4 linked regions of the Caenorhabditis elegans genome follow. The protein of the gene in region 1 interacts with the protein of each later gene in a pairwise test. Each region holds a gene or a part of one and is shown on either strand. Other genes may lie near its edges.

Region 1 (4,626 bases):
TGTAATTTTTTCAAAATTTTGAACCGCCATAAAACAATTTTTAAAAAATTTAAAATTTTTGAGCAGTTTTATTACAAAATTCGTTCATTTGAGCTCATTTTAGGCTTCTATACGTTCAAAATCGTCCGAACCGTTTTTCCAATTTTTTGAATTGATCTCGATTTATCGCTCTATTTATCACTAAATTGTGTACTTTTTTTTGTGTATTTTTTATATTTATTCATTATTCACCATTATCATCATTGTGACGCTTTTCATTGAACAACAAAACAAGACATTTTTCAAATTAATTATCGTTTTTTCCGTTGTATTTTCAACTTTTTTGATGTGGTTAAATACCCCCCTCAATGCTCTATTTTTGCTCTTTTTCAGCTCGAAAACTGGAATTTCTACTGAAATTTACGTAATTTTTGCCATTTTTTCGCTGAAATTTGCTAGAAATCGCTAAAAAATGCGAATTTTTCGGAAAAAAAGCCCGATTTCCTCAATTTTCATCAAAAAAAGTTCAAAATAACTACAAACTACAGCTTTTTGGGCGCTGCTAAAACTACAAACTACAAGTTTTGGGCGCTGCTAATTCAAATTATAGGCGCTGCTAAAACTACAAACTACAGCTTTTTGGGCGCTGCTAATTCAAATTATAGGCGCTGCGAAAACTACAAACTACAAGTTTTGGGCGCTGCTAATTCAATTTTAGGCGCTGCTAAAACTACAAACTACAAGTTTTGGGCGCTGCTAATTCAAATTTTAGGCGCTGCTAAAACTACAAACTACAAGTTTTGGGCGCTGCTAATTCGATTTTGGGCGCTGCTAAAACTACAAACTACAGCTTTTTGGGCGCTGCTATGCTTGAATTTGTCAATTTTTTCGATTTATTCGAATTTTTTCGCTTAAAATCAATTTTTAATCAAATTTTCTTCAACTTTCCTGAATTCTAACTACAAACTACAAGATTTTAGCTCGATTTTTCTCAAAAATGCTTCAAATTTCGGAAATTTTCCGGGATTTTTCCCTGGAAAAATCGAAAATTTTCAAATTTCCTACAATTCCCGCTCTATTTTAGCGCTGCAAAATCCCAATTACCCCAAGAAAATCGATAATTCCCCCACCGTCCTACAGGTCCCCCCGTATTCCATTTTCTGAGCAGATGTTCATCCCGCGTTCTCTCTCTCCCTCTCCACGAGGCCTCCTTTCTCTGCGCTCTCTCTCGTTTCTCCACACTATTTCTCTCGTTTTCTCTGTTTTCTCTGGCGTCTCTCACTACGCGCGAGCTCCCTCACACTGCCGCCTTGTTTGAATCTACGCGGGCCTCGATATTTCGATATTGGACCAATTTCGACCAATTTTCTCGCAGTTTTTTGTTAAAAGTCTCTTTTTAAGGTTATTTAGTCATAATTTCATTGAAAATTTCGAAAGAAATTCCAAGAAAATACGAGATTTTTGCAGTTTCCACAGTTTTCTGTTAAAATTCTTGATTTTACAGACATTTTTCCTAGAAATTTTGCCGTTTTTCTGCTCACTTCAGTGAAAAAAATCGATTTTTTCGCAATTTTCTGCCCATAAATATGCTTTTTCCTCGCTGAAAACCCTGAAAATCTTTTCAATTCCCCGCTAAATTTCAGCAAAATTTCGTCGAAAAGTGGAATGAAGAAGGGAGCGTCGAAGCGGAGACGCGACGACGATGACGGTGACGTTTCGATGACCGGCGACGACGATGATAGCAGAAGTGGTGCCGCTGTGAAGGTTGAAGTGCCGAAAGGTAGCGAAATCTGTGTGGAATTTTCGGCGAAAATGCGGAAAAATAGCTCTGAAAAACGCATTTTTTAGTGATTTTCTCCGACAAAATCGAAAAAAATCGAGCAAAATCCGTGAAAATCTGGCTCCGGGCAGCCCGAATACCCTCAAAAAGTGCAATTTCAGCGTCAGAGCTCAAGTTTTTGCAATAACTGACTGGAAAACTTTGATTTTCTGGGAAATTTGCATAATTTTTCCATTTTTTCCGGAATTGAGAGTTGAAAAACGCAAAAAATTGGTTTTTTACACTCGAAAATGCTTTTTTCAACACATTTTTTACGCAAAAGTGAACTTTTTTTTTTTCAAGTTTCATTCGAAAAAGACCGAAATTTGAATTTTGGGCGCTGCTAAGCTAAATTTTAGCGAAAATTGGTCAAAATTCGAACATTTCCAGAGCGCATTTTCAAAATTTCTACTCATTTTTTGGAAAAAAAATCGGAAATTTAAATTTTAGCCAAAAATGGAATTTTTCAGCGCTTTTTCTTCAGATTTTCTTCGAAATTTCTGAAAAAATCGCATTTTTATCTGATTTTTCCAGAAAAAAACCAATTTTTCGGTCAAAATTGCATTTCAGGACCAAAAAAAACCAGATTTTTCCAAATTTCCTTCCTAAAATTTTTTTGGGCGCTGCTAAAGCTACAAACTACAAGTTTTGGGCGCTGCTAAACTACAAACTACAAGATTTGGGCGCTGCTAATTCGATTTTGGGCGCTGCTAAACTACAAACTACAAGATTTGGGCGCTGCTAATACAATTTTGGGCGCTGCTAAACTACAAACTACAAGATTTGGGCGCTGCTAATTCAATTTTGGGCGCTGCTAAACTACAAACTACAAGTTTTGGGCGCTGCTAATTCGATTTTGGGCGCTGCTAAACTACAAACTACAAGATTTGGGCGCTGCTAATACAATTTTGGGCGCTGCTAAACTACAAACTACAAGATTTGGGCGCTGCTAATTCAATTTTGGGCGCTGCTAAACTACAAACTACAAGTTTTGGGCGCTGCTAATTCAATTTTGGGCGCTGCTAATTCAATTTTGGGCGCTGCTGACCGATTTTGGGCGCTGCTAGACTACAAACTACAAGATTTGGGCGCTGCTAATTCAATTTTGGGCGCTGCTAACACTACAAACTACAGGTTTTTTGCGCTGCTAATCCAATTTTGGGCGCTGCTAAACTACAAACTACAAGATTTGGGCGCTGCTAATTCAATTTTGGGCGCTGCTAACACTATAAACTACAGGTTTTTTGCGCTGCTAATCCAATTTTGGGCGCTGCTAAACTACAAACTACAAGATTTGGGCGCTGCTAATTCAATTTTGGGCGCTGCTAACACTACAAACTACAGGTTTTTTGCGCTGCTAATCCAATTTTGGGCGCTGCTAAACTACAAACTACAAGATTTGGGCGCTGCTAATTCAATTTTGGGCGCTGCTAGACTACAAACTACAAGATTTGGGCGCTGCTAATTCAATTTTGGGCGCTGCTAAACTACAAACTACAAGTTTTGGGCGCTGCTAATCCAATTTCCCCTCAATTTCCAACCAATTCTCTTTTGCAGGAAAGGAAAAAGACGCCGAATTCAGCGCACCAAAAGGCCAAAAGCTCACTGATCTCGACGAAGAAGGTGTCCAATCAACAAAAGAAGCTCCACAACTCGCCGAAGGAAACGTCATTGAGCAGACCCACTACATTGTAGTCCCCTCATACGCCGGCTGGTTCGACTATAACGCAATTCATCAAATCGAGAAACGCGCAATGCCTGAATTTTTCAACGGAAAGAATAAGAGCAAGACACCGGACGTCTACGTTGCCTACCGTAATTTTATGGTCGACACGTACCGTCTGAATCCATTTGAATACGTGTCTGCGACGGCTTGTCGCCGGAATTTGGCCGGTGATGTGTGCTCAATTGTGCGGCTTCACTCGTTTCTCGAGCAATGGGGCCTGCTGAATTATCAAGTTGATTCGGATGCTCGGCCGGCTCCTGTTGCTCCGCCACCAACAAGCCATTTTATGGTTTTAGCTGATACACCGACTGGCATTCAGCCAATGAATCCACCTGGAAAGGAGTCTGCTGGAGCATCTGGGGAGCCACCAAAAGAGGAGATTAAGACTGAGATTGAGTCCATTTCGACGCCCGGCCTGAAAATTGATCAGTATCAGAAGCAGGCCATCGCGATGAGAGTGCGTACCTGGCGTCTGCCTTGGTTTTTCAGTGCAAATTTGAGAAAAATTGGAATTTTCAGTGCAAATTTGAGAAAAATTGGAATTTTCAGTGCAAATTTGAGGAAAATTGGAATTTTAGTGCAAATTTGAGAAAAATTGAAATTTTCAGTGCAAATTTGAGAAAAATTGGAATTTTCAGTGCAAATTTGAGGAAATTTTGAATTTTTAGTGCAAATTTGAGGAAAATTGTAATTTTTAGTGCAAATTTGAGAAAAATTGGAATTTTTAGTGCAAATTTGAGAAAAATTGGAATTTTTAGTGCAAATTTGAGAAAAATTGGAATTTTTAGTGCAAATTTGAGGATAATTGGAATTTTCAGTGCAAATTTGAGCATTTTCCGGCTATTTTTGAGCGAAAATCGGCAATTTCACACAATTTTTCATCGGAAAAATCGATTTTCACTGAAAAGTTTTAATTTTTCGACCAATTATTATGGAAAACCCGAAAAAATCCCTCAATTTTTGAATTTTTCATCAGAAAAATCGATTTTCGCGAGAAATTTTCTGATTTTTCGGCCAATTGTCATGAAAAACCGAAAAAATCCCGCAGTTTTTGAATTTTTCAACAGAAAAATCGATTTTCACTGAAATTTTTCGAATTTTC
Region 2 (7,886 bases), on another chromosome or scaffold:
TACAAGAAAAGTGTCTTCAATAAAAATTGAACTTTTTGTTTCTGCTGTGATATCTTTCACGATAAAATCTTTTGAAAAACCATCGCTTTTATAGTACTAGAGGTGTTAATAATTGACGGTTTCAAGGCTAAGATCACGCGATTCTTTAGTTGAATTTGTTTTTTGATTGTTTGGACTGTGAGATTGTAATTTTTTTAATCTTGTAAGTTTTTGTGCAATGAAAAATGCCTTAACGACTTTCATATAAATTTCTCTTATTCCTCTTGTTTAAAATGTCTACCACAAATTTTTAACAGTTATAACTAAATTGGGCAAAATTTGTTATTTCAACTTTACAAAAAAAATTTAACTTTTTTTGAATACTCTCTGTAGACGCGGTTTTTTTTTCAGAATTATGGTGGCCACCTTTTCAATAAAAAAAAATTATCTGAAAAATGCCATGGTCTCTCTGACCTTCGGCCCACATTGTATCTACGGATTTCATTCAAATATTTGCGGTTTTTTTTGACCGCTTGATCAAACTAATGAACTTTCATCAATGCAAACAAAATTTTTTCGCCAAAAGCAAATGACTAGCCAACTTTTTTTTTCTGTTTATGTTCAAATAGTTCAGTGGTTTCTTGTTAATTAATTATGACACAGTTTTGGTCACAAAATTTGAGCGTTTTTTTCGCTGAAACAATTGCACAAATCTAATACAAAACATTCTGATATCACACGCATCAATTTGGCGAGATTTCAAAAAATCAAACTGAGATGAGACCAGTGAAAACAAAAAATATATATGAGTCATCTAGAAAGTGATCTATACATTTTGTAGATCTTTTTTTAAAAATTGTGATGTTTGAGTACTTACAATGTAGGTCTACCACTTATTTTTTCTAGTTAGCTCACTATTTTATGCTTAGCATAGGTCAAACTACCCTTATAAAAAAAAACAATTATTTAGGTAAAAACGCTTGAAGTTCTTTTTTTCCTTTGTTTTGCACGAGAGGTTTTTTGTAAGTTTCTTATCAATCTCTTTTTTCAGTAAAAAAAGATCAAAACATCAAACCGAGGTCATGTGCACTCTCTTGTAGCTCTCTACTTGTTCCCTCATTATCTTATTCCCCCCGTCTTCTCACTTGTTGGTCCAACTACGCTCAACTTATCGATTCTTTGCAGCGAGCACTGCCACCTCAACACACTTTTAGCAATGAAATAGTGTGCTGGGCGAAGAGACGCAGACACACGTACGTAGTTTAAGAGTGAGCGAGATAGAGTGTGCGTAACGAGAAAAAGAGATAGAAGACGAAGAAACAAGTAGTGGTTTGGTTTCGATCTTTTTTTTTTAATTTGGGATATTTTTATTTTTATTTTCGAATTGTCAATTATTATTATTAATAGACTGTCAAAAATTACTTTTAATACCCCGTATTTGAACACGTTCTTTTTTTTATTTCTCTTAAATTGATTCCAAACAAGTTCCTATTAACACAATTCTTTTCAATTTTCTTTTCGAAATCATAATATTTTTTAAAAGTTAAATCTGTGGTTTTTTGGTTTTCCTTTCTGAATATGTTTTTACTGAAAACACCAAAAAATCTTGACAGTAGCTCAAAATATCAAGCTTTACAATTAAAGTTTTTCTCAACTTTTTTTTTCCCCTATAAACACAATCTCCCTTTATTCCCAAAAATACCACGAAACATGATATTTCAAAAAAAAAAGACAAACAGGTTTATACCACAGTTTGTACCTTTTATTGTCCATGCTGGTATTGTATTTCCTACTTCTTTGCCGCCCGGTTTTTCCTTGTTGTTTTAATTTTATTCCAAAACTCAATTTTACAGGTAATCAAATTGTAAAGGAAAAATATTAATAGTCAGAGTACACATAAATGGGTGATCATCATAATTTAACGGGTGAGTTTTTGTTTTATTGAAATTACTTTATTTTCGGAATGTTATTTAAAAAAAAGTTACAGTTTGAATAAAAAAACAGGATCTTCTGTTTCAGTTTTGAAAAAAAAACCAATTCCATAGTCCATATCCCAACTTACAGGCCTTCCCGGTACCTCCATCCCGCCACAGTTCAACTATTCTCAGCCCGGTACCAGCACCGGAGGGCCGCTTTATGGTGGAAAACCTTCTCATGGATTGGAAGATATTCCTGATGTAGAGGAATATGAGAGGAACCTGCTCGGGGCTGGAGCAGGTTTTAATCTGCTCAATGTAGGAAATATGGCTAATGGTGAGTTTAAATAGTAGCTATAGGAGTGAAGTGTTTGGAGTGTCGTGTTGGATATAAAATATCAATTAAAATAGATTCGAATTATTCAGAAAATCGCTTATTTTGGTAGTAGAACAAATGTTGATAAGTTAACAGACATCTTCTTTTTCCAATTAGTCTTGCACCCGAAGTGACTAGTTGGAAAATAGCCTTGCAGTTTCTATTAATTTTGTACATACTAATCTAGTACATTTCTAGAGAAAATTTTAGTATTTTAAGGTGGCAACGAGTAGTGCGGAACTCAAAATTCTCTTACATTCTCTTATATCTACTTACATTGAAAATTAATTTTGCACTCAAAAAATACCAAATAAAAAATAGGGTACTTGTTCCCGCTATTTTTGAAATTAATCAATTTTTCATTAATTTATCTATTTAAATTAAACTTGATATCTATTTTCTTCGTTGGGCTCAGGAATGGTAAATACGAGTTTTATAAGTTTTTATTTTATAAGTTAAAAAATTAATTTCTAAAATAGCGGAAGCATAATACACAAGTACCAAAAATAGTTATACATGCAATTTTGTCCATAGAATACTCTGAAACAACCTTGGTATTAGCTGCAAAACTGCAACATTATCAATTTAAAAAGGTATTTCTAATTGCAAATAAAATCGTAGCATTTCTAACAGTTGCCTAATTCTCGCTTTCTATTTTCAAATTTCAATTTTTTTTAAACTTTCAAGTAATGCAAACTCTGTAAAACACTGAAATCTAGTGAAAACCAAATCAATTTCCCTACGTGATTAGTAGTCGTGGTGTATGGTGGTTTGTGTTGGTTTGATATGCTTATTTTCCTTTTTGTTTTAAAAACCTTCCCCGTTTTGTTGCTTTTTAAATTTTACATTTCAAACTGAAATTCAGAATTTAAACCAATAATCACATTGGACACGAAACCACCTCGTGATGCCAACAAGTCATTGGCATTCAATGGCGGGTTGAAGCTAATCACTCCGAAAACTGAAGGTAAATAACGTCGAACATAGTAGTATAGCTTGAAAATAAAAAAAAACGTTGAATATGATGCATAAATGGTGCAATAGAAGGTTCAAAAGAATTTGTTGCCAACAAAAAATCTAAAATTTCAACACGAACCTCATGATGTTTACCGTCTGGCAGTCACTAACACACGTATTGATAAGCGAATTGTTGCCAAATTTCGTTGCTTATCAAACCTTATTTCTCTCTGACCATGAAGCTAATAGCAACTTCTCTTCTAGTTCCCGACGAGCACACACCGATGATGTCACCAGTGAATACAACTACAAAGATTCTACAACGGAGTGGTATTAAAATGGAAATCCCGCCATATTTGGATCCAGACAGTCAGGATGATGACCCGGAAGATGGTGTCAACTACCCGGATCCAGATTTATGTAAGTGGCAAAAAAAGTGTGAGCAAAAGAACTTAATATATTTTCAGTTGACACAAAAAACACAAATATGACCGAGTACGATTTGGATGTGTTGAAGCTTGGAAAACCAGCAGTAGATGAAGCACGGAAAAAGATCGAAGTTCCCGACGCTAGTGCGCCGCCAAACAAAATTGTAGAATATTTGATGTATTATAGAACGGTAAATACTTAAGTTTGTAGTACTGATTACAATATTGCATTTTCAGTTAAAAGAAAGTGAACTCATACAACTGAATGCGTATCGGACAAAACGAAATCGATTATCGTTGAACTTGGTCAAAAACAATATTGATCGAGAGTTCGACCAAAAAGCTTGCGAGTCCCTGGTGAAAAAATTGAAGGATAAGAAGAATGATCTCCAGAACCTGATTGATGTGGTTCTTTCAAAAGGTACAAAATATACCGGTTGCATTACAATTCCAAGGACACTTGATGGCCGGTTACAGGTGAGATCAAAAAAAATTTCTAGGACACATTTTGAGCCTATAGACATTAAATTATGATCTTTCAACGAACCTACGCTAGATAAATGATCCGACTTTTAAAAGTTTTGGAATTTATTTTGAGACGTTTCATTATGAAACTTGTATTAGACCAGCTTATGATATCAAAGTACCCACAAACTCCATACAAATTACAGGTCCACGGAAGAAAAGGTTTCCCTCACGTAGTCTATGGCAAACTGTGGAGGTTTAATGAAATGACAAAAAACGAAACGCGTCATGTGGACCACTGCAAGCACGCATTTGAAATGAAAAGTGACATGGTAGGTGAAGTAAGTGTGAATTGTTTCATTTTTCCTTTGATGTGATGTGGCACATGTTAGCTTCTTCCCTTATTCGGTTAACTCTGTGACCTTTGTTTGATTAAGTTGATTGCCTAATGTTGAGAAGATGTGACTTTTAAAAGTTTTAATATGAATATTAGGCCTTACAGGTATGCGTGAATCCCTATCACTACGAAATTGTCATTGGAACTATGATTGTTGGGCAGAGGGATCATGACAATCGAGATATGCCGCCGCCACATCAACGCTACCACACTCCAGGTCGGCAGGATCCAGTTGACGATATGAGTAGATTTATACCACCAGCTTCCATTCGTCCGCCTCCGATGAACATGCACACAAGGCCTCAGCCTATGCCTCAACAATTGCCTTCAGTTGGCGCAACGTTTGCCCATCCTCTCCCACATCAGGCGCCACATAACCCAGGGGTTTCACATCCGTACTCCATTGCTCCACAGACCCATTACCCGTTGAACATGAACCCAATTCCGCAAATGCCGCAAATGCCACAAATGCCACCACCTCTCCATCAGGGATATGGAATGAATGGGCCGAGTTGCTCTTCAGAAAACAACAATCCATTCCACCAAAATCACCATTATAATGATATTAGCCATCCAAATCACTATTCCTACGACTGTGGTCCGAACTTGTACGGGTTTCCAACTCCTTATCCGGATTTTCACCATCCTTTCAATCAGCAACCACACCAGCCGCCACAACTATCACAAAACCATACGTCCCAACAAGGCAGTCATCAACCAGGGCACCAAGGTCAGGTACCGAATGATCCACCAATTTCAAGACCAGGTACGTATGATTTAAAAAAAAAACAGTTGTTGTAAGGAGAAAAAGTTATTCTGACAGTAGGCATGAGGGTTGAACTAGAGGGACGCCGCAATTGCAAGAATTGTCGATTGCCGAAAATTTCCGACTTTGAACGGATGTCGGCAGGATGTGCCGGTCCGCTGTCAGGGTGGGCGGCAATTGCCGTTTGGCAATTTTTTTTGTCCACAAATTCAGCAAATCGCCGGAAATTTTCGATTCCGGCAATTAGCCGGTTTGCCGATTTGACGGAAATTTTAATTGAAGCAATTTGCCGATTTGCCGATTTGGCTGAAAAAATCGTTTGCCGCTCACCCCTGGTTTGGTGTTCCAGCCGAGAGCTAATAATTTTAGTCACTCAGCCACACAATACTGCCACCTATCAAGGCATGGATTTACAAAGGTTTAATATCTCCAGGTGTCAAACCAGAAACGGCAAAATATTATTTATGGGTACCTCATTATATAAAGGGGTAGAATATAAGTAGGCGGACAGGTGCATAGCCAATTCCCGCAGTTTAATCCTTTTTGGGATGTCCATTAACAGAGCCTTATTTGAATTTTTCTATTGGATTTTCGCCCTTTTCCGATGAAAACGAAGCGTTTTCAAACTTCACTAAAAGTGCAGCTTTTACAATTTTGACTAAATTGCTCTAGAATTAAGTATGAAAAAATTTTATGAATAGTATTGAGAGTTCATATTCTTTCGCAAAATAATCAAGAAATCTCTGCAGGAAATTTAATGTTAAGTTTAATCCTTATACATAAATTCTAATATAAGTACTTGATAATAACGAGAAAGGATGAAGCCCCTCAAATATTTGCCTTTTAAATTTGCACGTAGGTTTGAAAAGGCATCAATTTTGCAAATTTTTTTTTCGATAAACATTTTGCAGTTTTTTTATTTTAGATCTCATCAAAATATCTTCTTCTGGTAGACACATGTAATTTATTTGAAATTGATTGGAAAATGCCAACTTACAACATTTTGAAAAGGTGTCCTGCCAATTTCATATCAGTTATCAGATTTATTTTCTAAAAAAATAGCCAAGTTGAGACCACGAGGCGTATGATTATAGTTGTATAGTCGGTGATTTATTGCATAAAGAAGTTGGTTTAAAAGCAGTGATTTTGATTCTCAAAACTCATTTTTTTAGAGATTTTCTACAGCCGCTTTGCGAACAATTTTACTTTTCATCATACATGATACATTTTTTTGTCGCCTTTTCAGTTCATTCCTAAAATTTGTAAAACTTGAAGTAAACTCAATTACAGTGTTACAACCATCAACAGTCACCTTGGACGTGTTCCGTCGGTACTGTAGACAGACATTTGGAAATCGATTTTTTGAAGGAGAAAGTGAACAATCCGGCGCAATAATTCGGTCTAGTAACAAATTCATTGAAGTAAGTATTTCTAATATGTAGCTACTATGTACGTGTCACTCAAGATTGACAGCTTATCGCATATAAGTTGTGTCGATAAGGTGCCAAACAAAATATTGAATTTAATGTCACTTTTTGCTTTCTGAATCATCAAACAAACGATTTTTGTTTTTCATTCAAGAATATTGTGTTTTTTCTAGGAATTTGATTCGCCGATTTGTGGTGTGACAGTTGTTCGACCGCGGATGACAGACGGTGAGGTTTTGGAGAACATCATGCCGGAAGATGCACCATATCATGACATTTGCAAGTTCATTTTGAGGTTCGTTCTAGTTTTCATGGAATTAAAAGCCAAGTATTTTTTAGGCTCACATCAGAAAGTGTAACTTTCTCAGGAGAGGGGCCAGAAGTTAGTGATTGTAAGTTTCTTTTTTTTCTCTCTAAAGTTCACTTTAAAAAATCGTGTTAGTGATTGAAAACAAAATGAGTAATTATGTATTATACCCCGCCAACATAAAATTAAATTAAATTTTCATTCATAACTTTATTTAAATTAAACGTGATATGGATTATCTTCTTCAGATTTAGAAATGGTTATCATCAAGAAATCTTCCACACGTTTTCATGCTTTATTTCTTAAAAACTTTCATTTAAAACGACGGGGATATAATACATAAATACCCAAAAATGTAAAAGATCAAGTAAATTTAAAATGTTCACAACATAAAAAAAAACTGCTTGCTTTTTTCAGTGAACGAAAAATGGGGAACAATTGTGTACTATGAGAAAAATTTGCAAATTGGCGAGAAAAAATGTTCGAGAGGAAATTTCCACGTGGATGGCGGATTCATTTGCTCTGAGAATCGTTACAGTCTCGGACTTGAGCCAAATCCAATTAGAGAACCAGTGGCGTTTAAAGTTCGGTAAGTAAATCTGAAACTTATTGATATATTATAGAACATAGGTACAATTTTTTTTACAATCCAATTTTTTGGGCAATGACAGTATCAGGGTAACAATCCAATCCAAATTCGGAAATGTTGTTCGATAGTTTCCAGCTTATGAATTTTCTAACTAAAGAAATAACACAAATTTTTAAAGCTTTTGAACCATTGAAATGTTTCAGTAAAGCAATAGTGGATGGAATTCGCTTTTCCTACAAAAAAGACGGGAGTGTTTGGCTTCAAAACCGCATGAAGTAC
Region 3 (4,816 bases), on another chromosome or scaffold:
TCAAGGGTGTCGGTTTTTCGATTTTTCCAGAAAATCGAAAAATTAAAAATTTTCGATTTTTCGTTTTTTCAAATTCGAAAAATCGAAAATTTTTCGTTTTTCGATTTTCCGAAAAAAACGAAAAATCGAAAATCGAAAAATTTTTCGATTTTTGAAATAAACTTACAAAACAGCTGATAATGTTTTATTTTTGAACCTTTTCGTTGTAGGAGGTTGTAAATATCTATTCAAAAAGGGTTCCCCCACAGGGAAGGATAATCAAAACAGTAAATTTTCACTGAAAAACATCGAAAAATCGAAAAATCGAAAAAATCAAAAAAATCGAAAAATCGAAAAATGACACCCTTGATTCGGATGTACATTAAGCCTAGAATACCCTAAAAATGAGGCTAATATACTGAAAAAAAAAACTTAACAAAATAATTGAAAATCAGCAAAAATCCCTCATTTTTAAAAATTTTCAGAAAAGTTGTCCAAATGGCTCTGTGCGATTTTCAGCGGCTACCAAAGTTACAACCAGGGCTCGAACCCCCGCTGTGGCATATATTTTTATTTAGGTGTTTTTATACTAAACCGGGGAATTTTTTATCAAATCTTGAAATGCTCACTGAGCCCAGGATATTTTAAAAACCAGCTCAAAATTTGGAGAAATTGCCTACAAACCAACAAAAACCCTCGATTTTCAAAATTTTCAAAAAAATTGACCGTATGGCTCAGTGGGATTCTCGGCGTCTACCAATCTCACGGCCCGGGTTCGAACCCCCGCTGTGGCATATATTTTTTCTTTTTCTTTTTCAATGCTTTTACAGACTTCTGAACCCCATCAGGACCCCTCCAAAGCTTGCGAATTTCCGTTCTCAGGAATAATGACGAAACCCGAGCCACCACTCCATTTACATACAGCTCTCAGCTTCTTCTTCCCTCACTACTTTCAAGGCGTCGGACGGGGTGCTTCACAAACAATGCCATCTGTATTTGTTTGCTCGGCGAGCAGTAGCACAGGAGCTTTACATATGTCGCTGTTGTTCAAATACACGGTAGTGGAGGTGATAACTAGGCCGGGGGGCAGTGAAGTAATGAGTGAAAAAATTAAAATTTTGATAAAAACCGGCCAAAAAAATTTGACTTGAATCAATCCCGGAGGGTTCCCCAAAAGCCCTAAAACTTAGTAAGAGCCCGGTGCGGAAAAAAGGTATAAGGGTATCTAGTTTCAAGTGACCGCCGGCGAACAGGTAAGAAAAGAGCCGCGGGAGTTTTCTCAGAGCTCCCCGCCACCAAACAGGTGTTGCGATTTCTACCATAACTCGGTGGAGAGCATAGTTCGAGGAAAGTTGTCAACTAGCAAAATATTACTTGGAAAATTTCCTACAATTTTGTGGTTGGAAACTTTTTTCTTGCTATTCTAGTTTTAAAGTTACGAGGGTTTTAAAAATTTAAAAATAAGCGCCAGGAAATTTTCAAACTCATCTCTTATGCTCATTGAGCCATTTTCTGACTCGTGACTAAAATTTTCGACATGCCTATACCCAAATTAGTCTAAAACACCAAAAAAAAAAAATTAAGCCACAGCGCGGACTCGAACCCGGTCTTCTGCTTGGAAGCCCACCAAAATCCCACTGAGCCACTTGCACCAAATTTTCGAAATTTTATTTTTGGATTTTTTACTGCTTTGCCACAGAAATTGTGCATCGAAGAGCCCCAAGACCTCTGAATTCGATCCCGTCACCACAGGGGGTCCCCCCAACTGTTGCAAGTTGGCTAATGATGGCTATATAATGATGTAATATGGTTGCGTGAGGGGGTATCTAGACTCAACTGGGTATTGGAAAAAGACTAAGGGGTGCCTAAAATCAACTAGTCGCATAAATTGACCAAAAAAAAAATCCAAAATTTACAATAGGGATGTACATCATAATTTTTGATAATTTTTCTGATTAATGTCAGTTTAAAAGGCGATTCGGAGCAAGTTCCTAGTTAAAAATGTATCTTTTTGGAAAAATAGTGAAAATCAAAAATAAGTGTGCTCATTGAGCACCAGGTGACCCAGACATTTGTTTACGTGGATTATAAACTTCGCTAATTATTGATTTGTTTATTTTTCCGAGTTGCAACAAAGTTCGGAATTTTCTACTAAAAAACTTCAACCTAGAAGTTTAAAAGATAGAAATTTGAACTCAGCGCACTCAAATTAATCTAGAAACAGTAAAATGAAAAAATTGTGCCACAGTGCGGACTCGAACCCCGGTCGTCAGATTGGAAGTCATCCGAAATCCCACTGCGCCACTTGGACCAAATTTTCGAAATTGCGAAAAATGAAGAGTAAAAGCTCTGAAAAAAGTTTATTTCAGCTTAAAAATCTACATTTTTATCTGAAACCCCAACCCCGTACCATTAAAATTCGCAGTTCTACTCGTTTTGAGCTCCGAGAGCTTTTTTTCTGGGTTACAAGGAAATTAAAGCCAAGAATCATTTATATAGCTCATCCACACAAAAACAAAAATAAATGCTACAGCGGGGACTCGAACCCCGGGCTTCTGCTCGGAAGCTGTCCAAAAACCCACTGCGCCATTCAGGAACATTTTTAAGATTAGAAATATCGATTTTTCGAGTTTTTTAAATTAAAGTTCACGGTTTAGAAAACTCACAAAATACAGAGAACATTGTAGGAGAGGTTAGCTAGAACTGTCTAGGTACTGAATGGGGAAAGGAGGTACATGGAGGGGGGGGGGGGGGGGGGGGGGGGGGTGTCTTGGAAGAGCTCATCTTACAGACAGACCCTTCTCGCAGAACTTTCTCCAGTTTCATCACCATGCCGATATTTGATACTTTTGGGATGGGGTACCGGGCGCCCGGGGGCGCCCTGAAGCGACATATAACTCACCTCAGAATCTGGAAGCATTTTTTTTTTGATTCAGGAATTGCGAACAATTTCAGATATATAGATTTGGAAATTGTTGAGCAAAAATTTGAGCAACTGGCACGCAGAAGCAGGGAGAGACTGACTCTGATGTATTTGTGTGTGTGTGTGTGCTCTCGTTTTCTCTGCCGGCTCTCTGAGCTCTCGGAGCTCTCACCCCTGAGCTACCGTATGTCTGAGCCAGTCGGCTGTCTGCTCGGAGCTCCGCCTTTTGGTGGAAAATCGCATTATTTTCGGATTCTGAAAAATTAATTTTGAAAAAAAAGTTTTGTACGAGTGACTCAGTGGGATTTTGGAGGGCTACCAATCTGACGACCGGGGTTCGACTCCGCACTGTGGCATAATTTTTTTTCTTTGTTGGTTCGACTATATAAGCCCTGCTGAACACGAATTTTTAACATACAAATTTTTAACTTTTTATTGAAAATAAACTATCAAGCTTAAATTTTAATAGCTCATTGCACCTAGCACACATGAGACATATGCTGAACAGTCCCAAAAAATGCTCAAAATTTTTAAAAATCAGCTCAAACCTCGATTTTCTGAAAATTTGCTCGAATGGCTCAGTGGGATTTTGGAGGGCTTCCAATCTGACAACCGGGGTTCGAGTCCGCACTGTGTCATAAATTTTTTTATTTATTGGTTTGACTATACAAGCCCTGCTGAACACGGATTTCTGACTTATATACTATTTGTAATAACATTTTCAACATTTTGGGGATATATATATATCCCTTCGAAGCTTGGTCTCCAATAGCTTGAACAACTTTAAAACAAGTTCAAAATTGGAAAAAAAAAATATATCGAAATTGCTGAAAAATCAGCTCAAACCGTAATTTTCAAGTTTTTCTGAAAATTTGGCCGAATGGCTCAGTGGGATTTTGGCCGGCTACCAATCTTACGACCGGGGTTCGAGTCCGCACTGTGGCATGAATTTTTGTTTTGCTGTTCTCAGAATAATACAAATCTCCTGAATTCGAATTTTCAACTCTCAAAACCAGAAAGACTTGCTAGGTCGGCTCAAACTTAATTTCTTTTTGTGTACGAGTGGCTCAGTGGGATTCTAGCCAGCTACCAATCTGAGGTCCGGGGTTCGAGTCCGCGATGTGGCATAATTTTTTTTTTGGTGTTATTCTACTAAATTTCGACTTTCCGAGTTCGAATTCGGTCAAAAATTAGACATTTCCACACTGCTTTGTGATTTTTTCGAACTTTTATACCTTCTCAAAAAATCGATATTATTTGTTGATTTTACCCCCTTCCCTTATTTTCCTCTCATTTCTGAGAGTATAGGGAGATGGGGAGCGTGCGAAAGCGGCGAAGCGATCATATTTCAGTTTTCGGGAGCACAGAGTCGAGACGCTGACTTCAATTTTAGTAGTATATGGGACGAGGGACGATTTTGCAATGGAATATTGATTTTGGAGGAAACCCATTGAGTTTTAAGGCATGGGACCTTGAAATTCGGATTCAGAATGTCGATATTAGCCAAATAACACTAAAACAAAAAAATATGCCAAGGCGCGGACTCGAACCCAGGTGGTGAAATTGGTAGTCACCCAAAATCCCACTGAGCCAGTCGGACAAAAAGTTGAAAAGTTCTAGAAAATATGAAATTTGAATAGCAAAATAAAATTAGAAGTCTTAATAAGAAGTTTTCAATAATTCAGGTACTGCTTTCAAAAATTAGCAGGTCGAATTCGGAAACTCTCGAGAAAAATGCTTCTGTGGGCTTCTCGAACAGTTTATGAACCTGGAAGTTTGAAAAATAAAATTAAAATGTTGAATTTAGACTAGTGGGCTTCACTCCGCAGACGTATCCTTTGTAGCATATATTTGTGGGTACCAGCCCTGCGGTTGACATGTTGCATCTAAAAAATTCGAATATTTGGAAAAAAT
Region 4 (7,618 bases), 500 kb from region 1:
TCCCTATTCCCCTTAACAAAGAAACGATAGCAAAGGCCTAAAGAATAGTGTTACAAAAGATTCTACCGACGATGAGCTATGCGGAAAGCGGAACCATTAAACTTTTGTCAAAAGGTGATAATGGACCATCTAACTTATTGGTCACTTTCCTGTCTTTGTAACTATTATGTTGATAACCCTCATTATCAGTGCCCTTGATGGACGGAGCAACGAGAGGGCAATGCTGTGAACGTCTCTTTTGATACAGTAACTATCCATTGGGAGATTAGTCATTCCTGAACCTAATACTAGTTTCGGATGCTTGGGTGTGGTATGCAATGAAAAATCAATGAGACGGAACTTGAACTCTGTTTTTTGTGAATCGTTGAAATGATTCACCTGTTCCAAGTTATTTTTGGGAGTATTAGCGTCTCATTGATTTAACTTTCTTATTGCTTTTTTTTGATTTACAGTAATTATTATACCAGTATTGAACACTTTAATAGTCTCGCACAGACTTGTTACCAGATGTACCGTATCTATTAATTAAAAAAAATAAATCGGAACGATTTGAAATTTTGAAAATTGTGAAAATTTTAATTTTCGTGCCTAAAACAGCATCAAGCAAATTTTTTGTCAAAGCTTGATTCTTTTTCTCAAGGTTTTCAAAAATTCAAAAGTTAGTACTGTGCCTTCAATAAAACTTGTAGTCTCTTAGTCTTACACACCAACGGACCAATGGACATTGTATGAATGACTGAAACAAAAAATATATTATACTTTTTTGTGATATCTTTTTAAATTGCCCTTTGTTAATACTACCTAATTCTTAACTGCTATTAACTGCTACACAACTAGCCTTATCTTGCTCCCATAACGTATCTAAATGTCGCGCGCGCGGCGTCCGTCCTCTTATGTATCTGTACCAGTCACAAAATTGTGTTGATGAAAAAGGCAAGAAGAAGAAGAATGGCAGTTGAGGGTGAGAAATTTATTTTTCCTATTGTCGTGGGGGAGATTGGACGGTTTCATTTTTTCAAATGAGATATTAAAACATGATTAGGAAGAGTTGAGATTAGCTGATTGTGAGCTTAATGATAGTTTTTGGAGTTCAATGTTAAACTTTCCATTTCTACACCACTATACGATTCTGGGTCACTAAACACCCTTGCTCAGACGGCTTTTCAAAGAAACACCATCTCCCCTCTCCACCACCCTACGCCTGTACAAAATGACTCAAAAGGGCACCGCGCCCGCTCTCGGTCTCCGATCACTCAGTCTCTCTCTCTCCCTCCACAACCCAAAAAGGAGGCTTGCAGAAGTAGAGAAGCAGAGAGTGACGATCGCTGTCTCCAGGTGTCCGTGTCAAACTCTCTTATCAATCAGTGCTCTTTTTCTCTCGTGTTACTGCGTCTCTATGTCCATTCCCTTCTACTCATTCCCATACAGCCCCCTTCTACACCACCATCATCACCATCACACTGTCACAGTGTTGATAACGAAGAGTCGTATCAAGAGACCTAACAAAATCACCCAACCCCAGCCAATATTACCTTATACACCCTATCTGTCCACTGCGTATTTTTTGAAGGACTATCTAATTTGAGATACAATGACATCGCCATCCAGTGATGAGGACATTATTGATATAAGGGTAAGGCACCAGTTATTTTCTGCTTCATGCATCGTTTTTTTTTAAAATTGTTCGGGGCCTCTGAAAACGTTTTTGTTAGCTCCCGGCTGTATGCTCACTTTTTTCGAAATTAAAAACTTACAACCATCTTTGCCACACATGTTTAATCTATTTCTGCAGCTACCTTTCTATTTCTCTTCTGAAACAATCTGAAAATGAGCACCTTCTGTGTATAATAGCACATAAGTGCTCATTAACAGGGGATACTCGATGTCAATATGACCCGGCCAGGATGCTAGGTTGCCACCTATTATTGCTCCATTGGTATTCTGGGAAGATGCACATTTTGAGAATATCATGAACATCTGTGATTTGTCAGAAATAGTTTAGGTTATTGTTCAGCTTACCATATTTTCTTCAAACATCACTACAAACTTTTTTAATGACATTAAATACATTTTTTCTAAGTTCAATAGCTTTTTTGGAATTTGAATGTTAGTCATGAACTCTTAAAATATGCAAGGCTCAAAAAGTGAAATTGTTAAAACTTTCTTTTAAGATTTTTTTATCGATTCTCTTTTCGGAGAGATACAATGAAAATTTGATTCTCACGGTCCACGCACAAAGTTTTTTCTTCGTTTTGCTAGAAAAAATTTCTATGGAACAATTTGAACATGTTTTGAAACACTGTGGAAAATTAAAAGTTTTCATATTTCGATAATAAGAGCTCCCGAAAAAAATGCTCCAAAAACAAAACTCGGGCCATCCAAATATTTTTTGTTTCGATGGATGAAATGCGATATTCACCGAAGGGGCACCACCACCAGTGGCTCCGAAAGCTTCCACCCAAAAATGGGAGCCTCCTAGACGTATATTTTGTGCTCTTTTCTACTCTCTCGCTCCTCCTTCCCATGCAAATATTTGACAATTTCGCAGTGTGTATGTGATATCAGTTTTTGTTTGCCAATTGTTGTTTCTTTTATTTGCCATGTTCGTTTCACACGGTTTCAGTGATAAATATGTGATAAGCTTCAAGACGAACCTAATTTTTTTAGAACAAAATATGACGAAATGGGGTTCAAAAGTTTGGATTTACCATGGAAAATGTTTTTCTCACTTTACAATTACTATTCTTATAGACATGAATTTTCTTTTTCCTAAAAACGTCCCACACTTTTTGATTCTAATATACCTACACCTATTTTGAAATAATGAAATCATATCGAGTGAGTATTGATAAGAAACCTCTTCTTCCGCCTACACTGCTTTCTACTCTATTTTACGATTATTGATTATTTTGGAGAAGTGTATAAGATAATGAGTCAGCGCAGTTAATGCTCAATAATAACAGGTGCTAAAAAATAGGCGGCAGATGGATGATAGTCGTCTCAAGTTTTTTTACGATTTTGAATCACAGCTGGAAAAAACGACTGTTAGGGCGAACATCTGGACCCAGAAATATTCATTCAAAATTTGCTTGAAAGAACCATTCAAAATCGGACTAAAAACGGCGGCAATAGTAAAAGGAAATAGTTTTTAAAAAAAGGCGAATCGGCAAACTGCCGGTGCCGGATATCAGATTTGCCGGAAATGTTTAGAGGGATTTTTTCGTAAGACCGAAACACTTTGCCGGAAATTTTCAATTCCGGCAATTTGCCGATTTGCCGGAAAAATTGTTTGCCGCCCACCCCTGATTGATACCACGCCTCTTTTCAATCAATAATAAAAGTTTTAATAAAAATGTGAGAGGACCCATAGCGGTATTGATAAGGTGGTCTAAGAAAAGAAAAAAAATTAAGATTTCTCTTGTAGATTTTGTTGAAACATTCACATGTTTTTAAAAAAATAGCGATAGTTTTTTTTTTCAACTTCGCCGCCACGTAGTAAAACCCTCGCATCCCGAACCTATTTCCAACCCACTCTCATTTCGTCATCGTTCTTCAGCTCTTGAAATTGCCGTTTGTATCATTTGGTGCTATATATTGCATTTTTAAGAGATTTCCTTGCCGCTTTTCCTCTCATCAACCCTTAAGCTTTCGCCGAAATTGCCCCCGGACATATTTTCAATTTCTTCACATCTGAATCCTCCTCCCTCCTCTATCCCACTTGTATGTAATTCTATACCACACCACCTCATTCTTAGTATCCTAGTACGTGCTAGGCTAGGACACAAAATTGGGTCAAGTGGAAAAGAGATATTTTGGAAAATTCAATGAAAAATTTGAGAACTTTTTAACAATGAAAAAAATTAAACTATTTTGTTTGAAGGTCATCAAAGAGGAGCCAGAGTCGGAACCTGACTCTGAAGCCGAGCCAGCCACAACCACGAATTCAACGGATTCAGAAGATTCTGTGGAACAGGAAAATAAAAAGTTATTGGAAACCGAGAAGAATCGAAAACGCGAGCAGAAACATAAAATGTTGCCAAATGGAACCACTTCTGGGACCTCCGACACGGGAAATCAGGTGCCTGCCACGTCGTCGGCTGCTTCAAGTGTAGACTATACGGTAGGTATGGTGCGGCAAATTTGGTAGGGTGTCAAAAATAAAGTAATAATAATAATCGTCATTTTTAACCCAAGCTTATCAGAATAAAAAACCATATGGCTAGTTGTATAACCGTCTGGCGTATCTTTTTGATGATTAATTTTTTGAGTAGGTAAATGCACTGTGAGTCATTTAGTTTTTTTATTCTTCTGTTTAACTTGTTAGTTTCTGCAATAAGTTTTAAAATTTCAATTCGTTAATCAATTTTTTAAATCGAAAATATTTCTTTGAAATTCAATCCCAGATTCTGAGTATATCACCAAAATTTAGAATTGCGAAATATTTTGAGGTCCAATACGGCTCAACATTAAAATCAACCAAAAATTAAAGAGTGATAACCAAATAGGGATTATGTTCAAGACGCTGTGACACCAAGAAGTTGGCAAAAAAAATTTGATTTTAGCTGAAAATGGGCAAATTTTTTCTAGAACTTTGAACCGCCATAGCTTTTTTTTGAGAAATTTTTAAAACGTCTCATTATGAAATTCGGTAGTTTTGCGTCATTTTGGGTTAAAAAAGCAAAGTCTCAGATTTCGGTACTCCTCATTTAATAAAAATTCGATTTAAAATTGTAGCAGTTAGTTTTTTTTTTGTAAAATTTTTTAGAAAAGTAGCTAAAAAGTAGCAAAGTGATGGTGTCCAGAAGAAAATAGAAATTGTGAGGTCCTCCTACCAAAAGAAGAAGGGGCTGGGCGTCGTGTTGCCCAAGAAGCCAAATATTTATTCAATTTCTATTTATTTATCCGACGACGACGAGGAACCCCCCCCCCCCCCCCCCCCCCCCCCCCCACCGTCCACAAACACACACACAACCAAAATTAGAATTCTTAAAAAAGCACCACGTGGAGATTACAATTAGTGAAACACCTATACTATTTTCAGCCATGAGTCAGTTGAAATCTAAAACAAGGTAAAAATCCGAAATGGGCGGAGTCCGCGACGGGGTTACTGTGGCTAAGCGATAGGCGGTGCGCACGCGCATAGGAGGGCAAGGTAGGCGGAGTCCCGCTGCTCTAGTGCCTAGCCTCTCCTTCACCTCTCTTCTTCAGTACGGGGCGTTCTACTTACCTTTGAGCATCATCTTTTTAAGGAATTTCCAAGGCTCAGGTTCAGAGGTCAAACGGGACTTATTTGTTCATTTCCATGTCTAGCTCCACGTGTGGGGCTTCCGAATTTTCTAAATATTTGTTATTTGTTATAAACACACACACACACACACATTTTGTATTTATCTTTAAATATTTACATAATCCCAGACCTCAAAGCAAACTTTCAATTTTTTTCTTGCAGGCCATGAACGCTCAGGACTATCTGCCGACGTATTCTAATACTACGTTAAACTACCAACCATATCAGGTAAAAAGTTTGACCCTGTTCTCACTAATAAGTCTAATAACATCCATTCTACTTTCAGTACCAGACTGCTGCCAATGGACTTCTGAACTACAACAACTACAGCCAGTATGCCACTGCTAATCAGCTCGGATCGAACTACATCAGCCCAGCCAATTTCATGCAAGGAGGAGGAATTTCACCTCTTGGTAAGTTTTAAAATATCCCTAATTGTCTAAATACTAACTCTCACATACATAAAAACAGTATAGCATATAATTATTTTTAATACGGTTAAGACAATGCATGAATTTATATCTATAGACAATCCTGATTAAATAAATTATTGTGAGATACTCTTCACTCTGAAAGCTCTAAATATTTCCCAAGCACAAAATGAGTATCCATTATTCATTCATACCTACCTTGAGTGGCGCTCTCTATACACAATTTGTAATTTGATCTCATTCAGGTTTTACCACTGGCACCACCGGAGCCACCACAGCGGCCGCTTCCGTGGCCACGTCGTCCGCCTCAGCGGTCATCGGAAGAAGCAATGGACGATCAAGCTCGACGGTTGCTGCATCGCCAGCCGATAGGTCTTATTCTGGTGTAAGCGGAGGGCAAGGCCAAGAACTCACGATTCAGGAATTTGAAACTGTCACGGAAAAGATCAGAAGACATGGAACTTATGGACAATCGAAACCTCCATACTCTTACATTAGCTTAATTACTATGGCAATTCAAAAGTCTAATTCTAGACAATTGACATTGTCTGAAATCTACAATTGGATCATGGATTTGTTCCCTTACTATCAGAACAATCAACAAAGATGGCAAAACTCAATTCGCCACTCCCTCTCCTTCAATGATTGCTTTGTAAAGGTTGCCAGGTAAGAGTCTTGAAAATTAAAGTTTTTTCTGGACACGTTTTGTCCCGATAAAAAACTTCTTATTGTTTTCCCACAAAAACCATCATTTCCTATTATAATCGGAACCTATATAGTTTATCTCAAGGACTACCTTTTCTGCAGCGCCACATTTATTATACCGTGCGCCCAAGGGACACCCATTGATGCGTGAAGCTGTTGAAATGAGAAATTACCGGAGAGAGTGAGGGTGCGCGTTAGTGAAAAGATTTGACAAAAAATCTATATGGATGTTTTCCGGAAACGATTTACAAAGACTAAGTTTATAATTTTCAGGTCCCCTGACAAGCCTGGAAAGGGATCCTTCTGGACTCTTCACGAGCACTGTGGGAATATGTTTGAGAATGGATGCTACCTCCGTAGGCAGAAGAGATTCAAGGTCAAGGAACGTGAGCCATCGAGAAAGAAGAGAAATGCCAACTCCCAACAATTGCATCAACAACAACACATTCCAAAAATGGAAATCAAAGAAGAGGATCCAACATCCATCACGACCACATCATCACTTGGTGCTTATTCTCTGATCCCTCAAATTTCTACAAAGAAGGAGATCAAGGAAGAGCTGAAAGCTGTGCAAGATGCAACTGCAGCTGCTGCCAATCTTGGCCTAATTGACCCATCGGGAACGCCGTCGGCTGTTAATCACAGTCAACCTACTTCAGTGATCTCAAGTGTTGGCACACTAGGAACCACGCAAGCACAGGTAAGATAAAATCTAGCCAGTGAATACAATATTTCAAGCTCCCATTTTGAATTTTTTCAGATGACACTCAATGGTCAATACGCGTCTCCTTACCTCTACAGTTCGGATTTTGCCACAATTCTCCCACAATCCCAGAATTTCCTGAACAACACACTCTACAACACAACGAGCAGTTATCCAGGAATTGACTACACCAACGGAGTATACCAGAATACTCTTTACAGGTATGTCTGATGGTATAACTAACGATGTTTTGTTGACCCCCTACTAATTTTTTTCGTTTGTTTTCCTTGTTTAAAACACATCATTTATTTTCTACGGTCTCATGATTATTTTGAATGTTTTAGAAGTTAACAATAAATTTCAATTTAGTAAAAATTGGAGTCTGGTTCTACTCGGTCATAATAGTAAGATTTAAAAAAGTACTAACGAATTTGATAGTATTGGTTTTTATTATCAAGGAAAGTATTTCAACTTAATCCCGGAATTCTGAAT

The links.
Region 2: the proteins of swsn-1 (region 1) and daf-3 interact in a two-hybrid assay, tested with the Caenorhabditis elegans proteins (one study listed by BioGRID).
Region 3: the proteins of swsn-1 (region 1) and eya-1 interact in a two-hybrid assay, tested with the Caenorhabditis elegans proteins (2 studies listed by BioGRID).
Region 4: the proteins of swsn-1 (region 1) and pha-4 interact in a two-hybrid assay, tested with the Caenorhabditis elegans proteins (2 studies listed by BioGRID).

What each region holds. Positions count from the first base shown.
Region 1 is NC_003283.11:20,246,479-20,251,104, reverse strand, and holds the start of swsn-1 (SWI/SNF complex subunit SMARCC2), read left to right. Parts: upstream 1-1,622; 5' UTR 1,623-1,644; coding exon 1,645-1,759; intron 1,760-3,355; coding exon 3,356-3,981; exon of another isoform or gene 3,982-4,626.
Region 2 is NC_003284.9:819,420-827,305, reverse strand, and holds the start of daf-3 (Smad protein daf-3), read left to right. Parts: upstream 1-1,879; coding exon 1,880-1,904; intron 1,905-2,043; coding exon 2,044-2,232; intron 2,233-3,136; coding exon 3,137-3,238; intron 3,239-3,459; exon of another isoform or gene 3,460-3,464; coding exon of another isoform or gene 3,465-3,492; coding exon 3,493-3,648; intron 3,649-3,695; coding exon 3,696-3,847; intron 3,848-3,893; coding exon 3,894-4,133; intron 4,134-4,327; coding exon 4,328-4,462; intron 4,463-4,614; coding exon of another isoform or gene 4,615-4,623; coding exon 4,624-5,284; intron 5,285-6,574; coding exon 6,575-6,705; intron 6,706-6,884; coding exon 6,885-7,006; intron 7,007-7,050; coding exon 7,051-7,103; intron 7,104-7,435; coding exon 7,436-7,607; intron 7,608-7,810; coding exon 7,811-7,886. UniProt on the Caenorhabditis elegans protein: Transcriptional regulator and common SMAD (co-SMAD), required to regulate entry into a developmentally arrested larval state known as dauer, in response to harsh environmental conditions.
Region 3 is NC_003279.8:14,228,344-14,233,159, forward strand, and holds the start of eya-1 (Protein phosphatase eya-1), read right to left. Parts: upstream 3,018-4,816; 5' UTR 2,900-3,017; coding exon 2,882-2,899; intron 2,688-2,881; exon of another isoform or gene 2,646-2,687; intron 759-2,645; exon of another isoform or gene 689-758; intron 1-688. Other genes in the region: clec-114 (PAN-3 domain-containing protein), read right to left, coding at 4,692-4,788. UniProt on the Caenorhabditis elegans protein: Tyrosine protein phosphatase. Acts probably as a transcription regulator in the embryonic and postembryonic development of several tissues including pharynx, vulva and gonads. Required for the development of anterior tissues during late embryogenesis.
Region 4 is NC_003283.11:20,751,461-20,759,078, forward strand, and holds the start of pha-4 (Defective pharyngeal development protein 4), read left to right. Parts: upstream 1-1,591; coding exon 1,592-1,633; intron 1,634-3,880; coding exon 3,881-4,120; intron 4,121-5,068; exon of another isoform or gene 5,069-5,277; intron 5,278-5,449; coding exon 5,450-5,515; intron 5,516-5,573; coding exon 5,574-5,700; intron 5,701-5,963; coding exon 5,964-6,384; intron 6,385-6,696; coding exon 6,697-7,123; intron 7,124-7,183; coding exon 7,184-7,347; intron 7,348-7,618.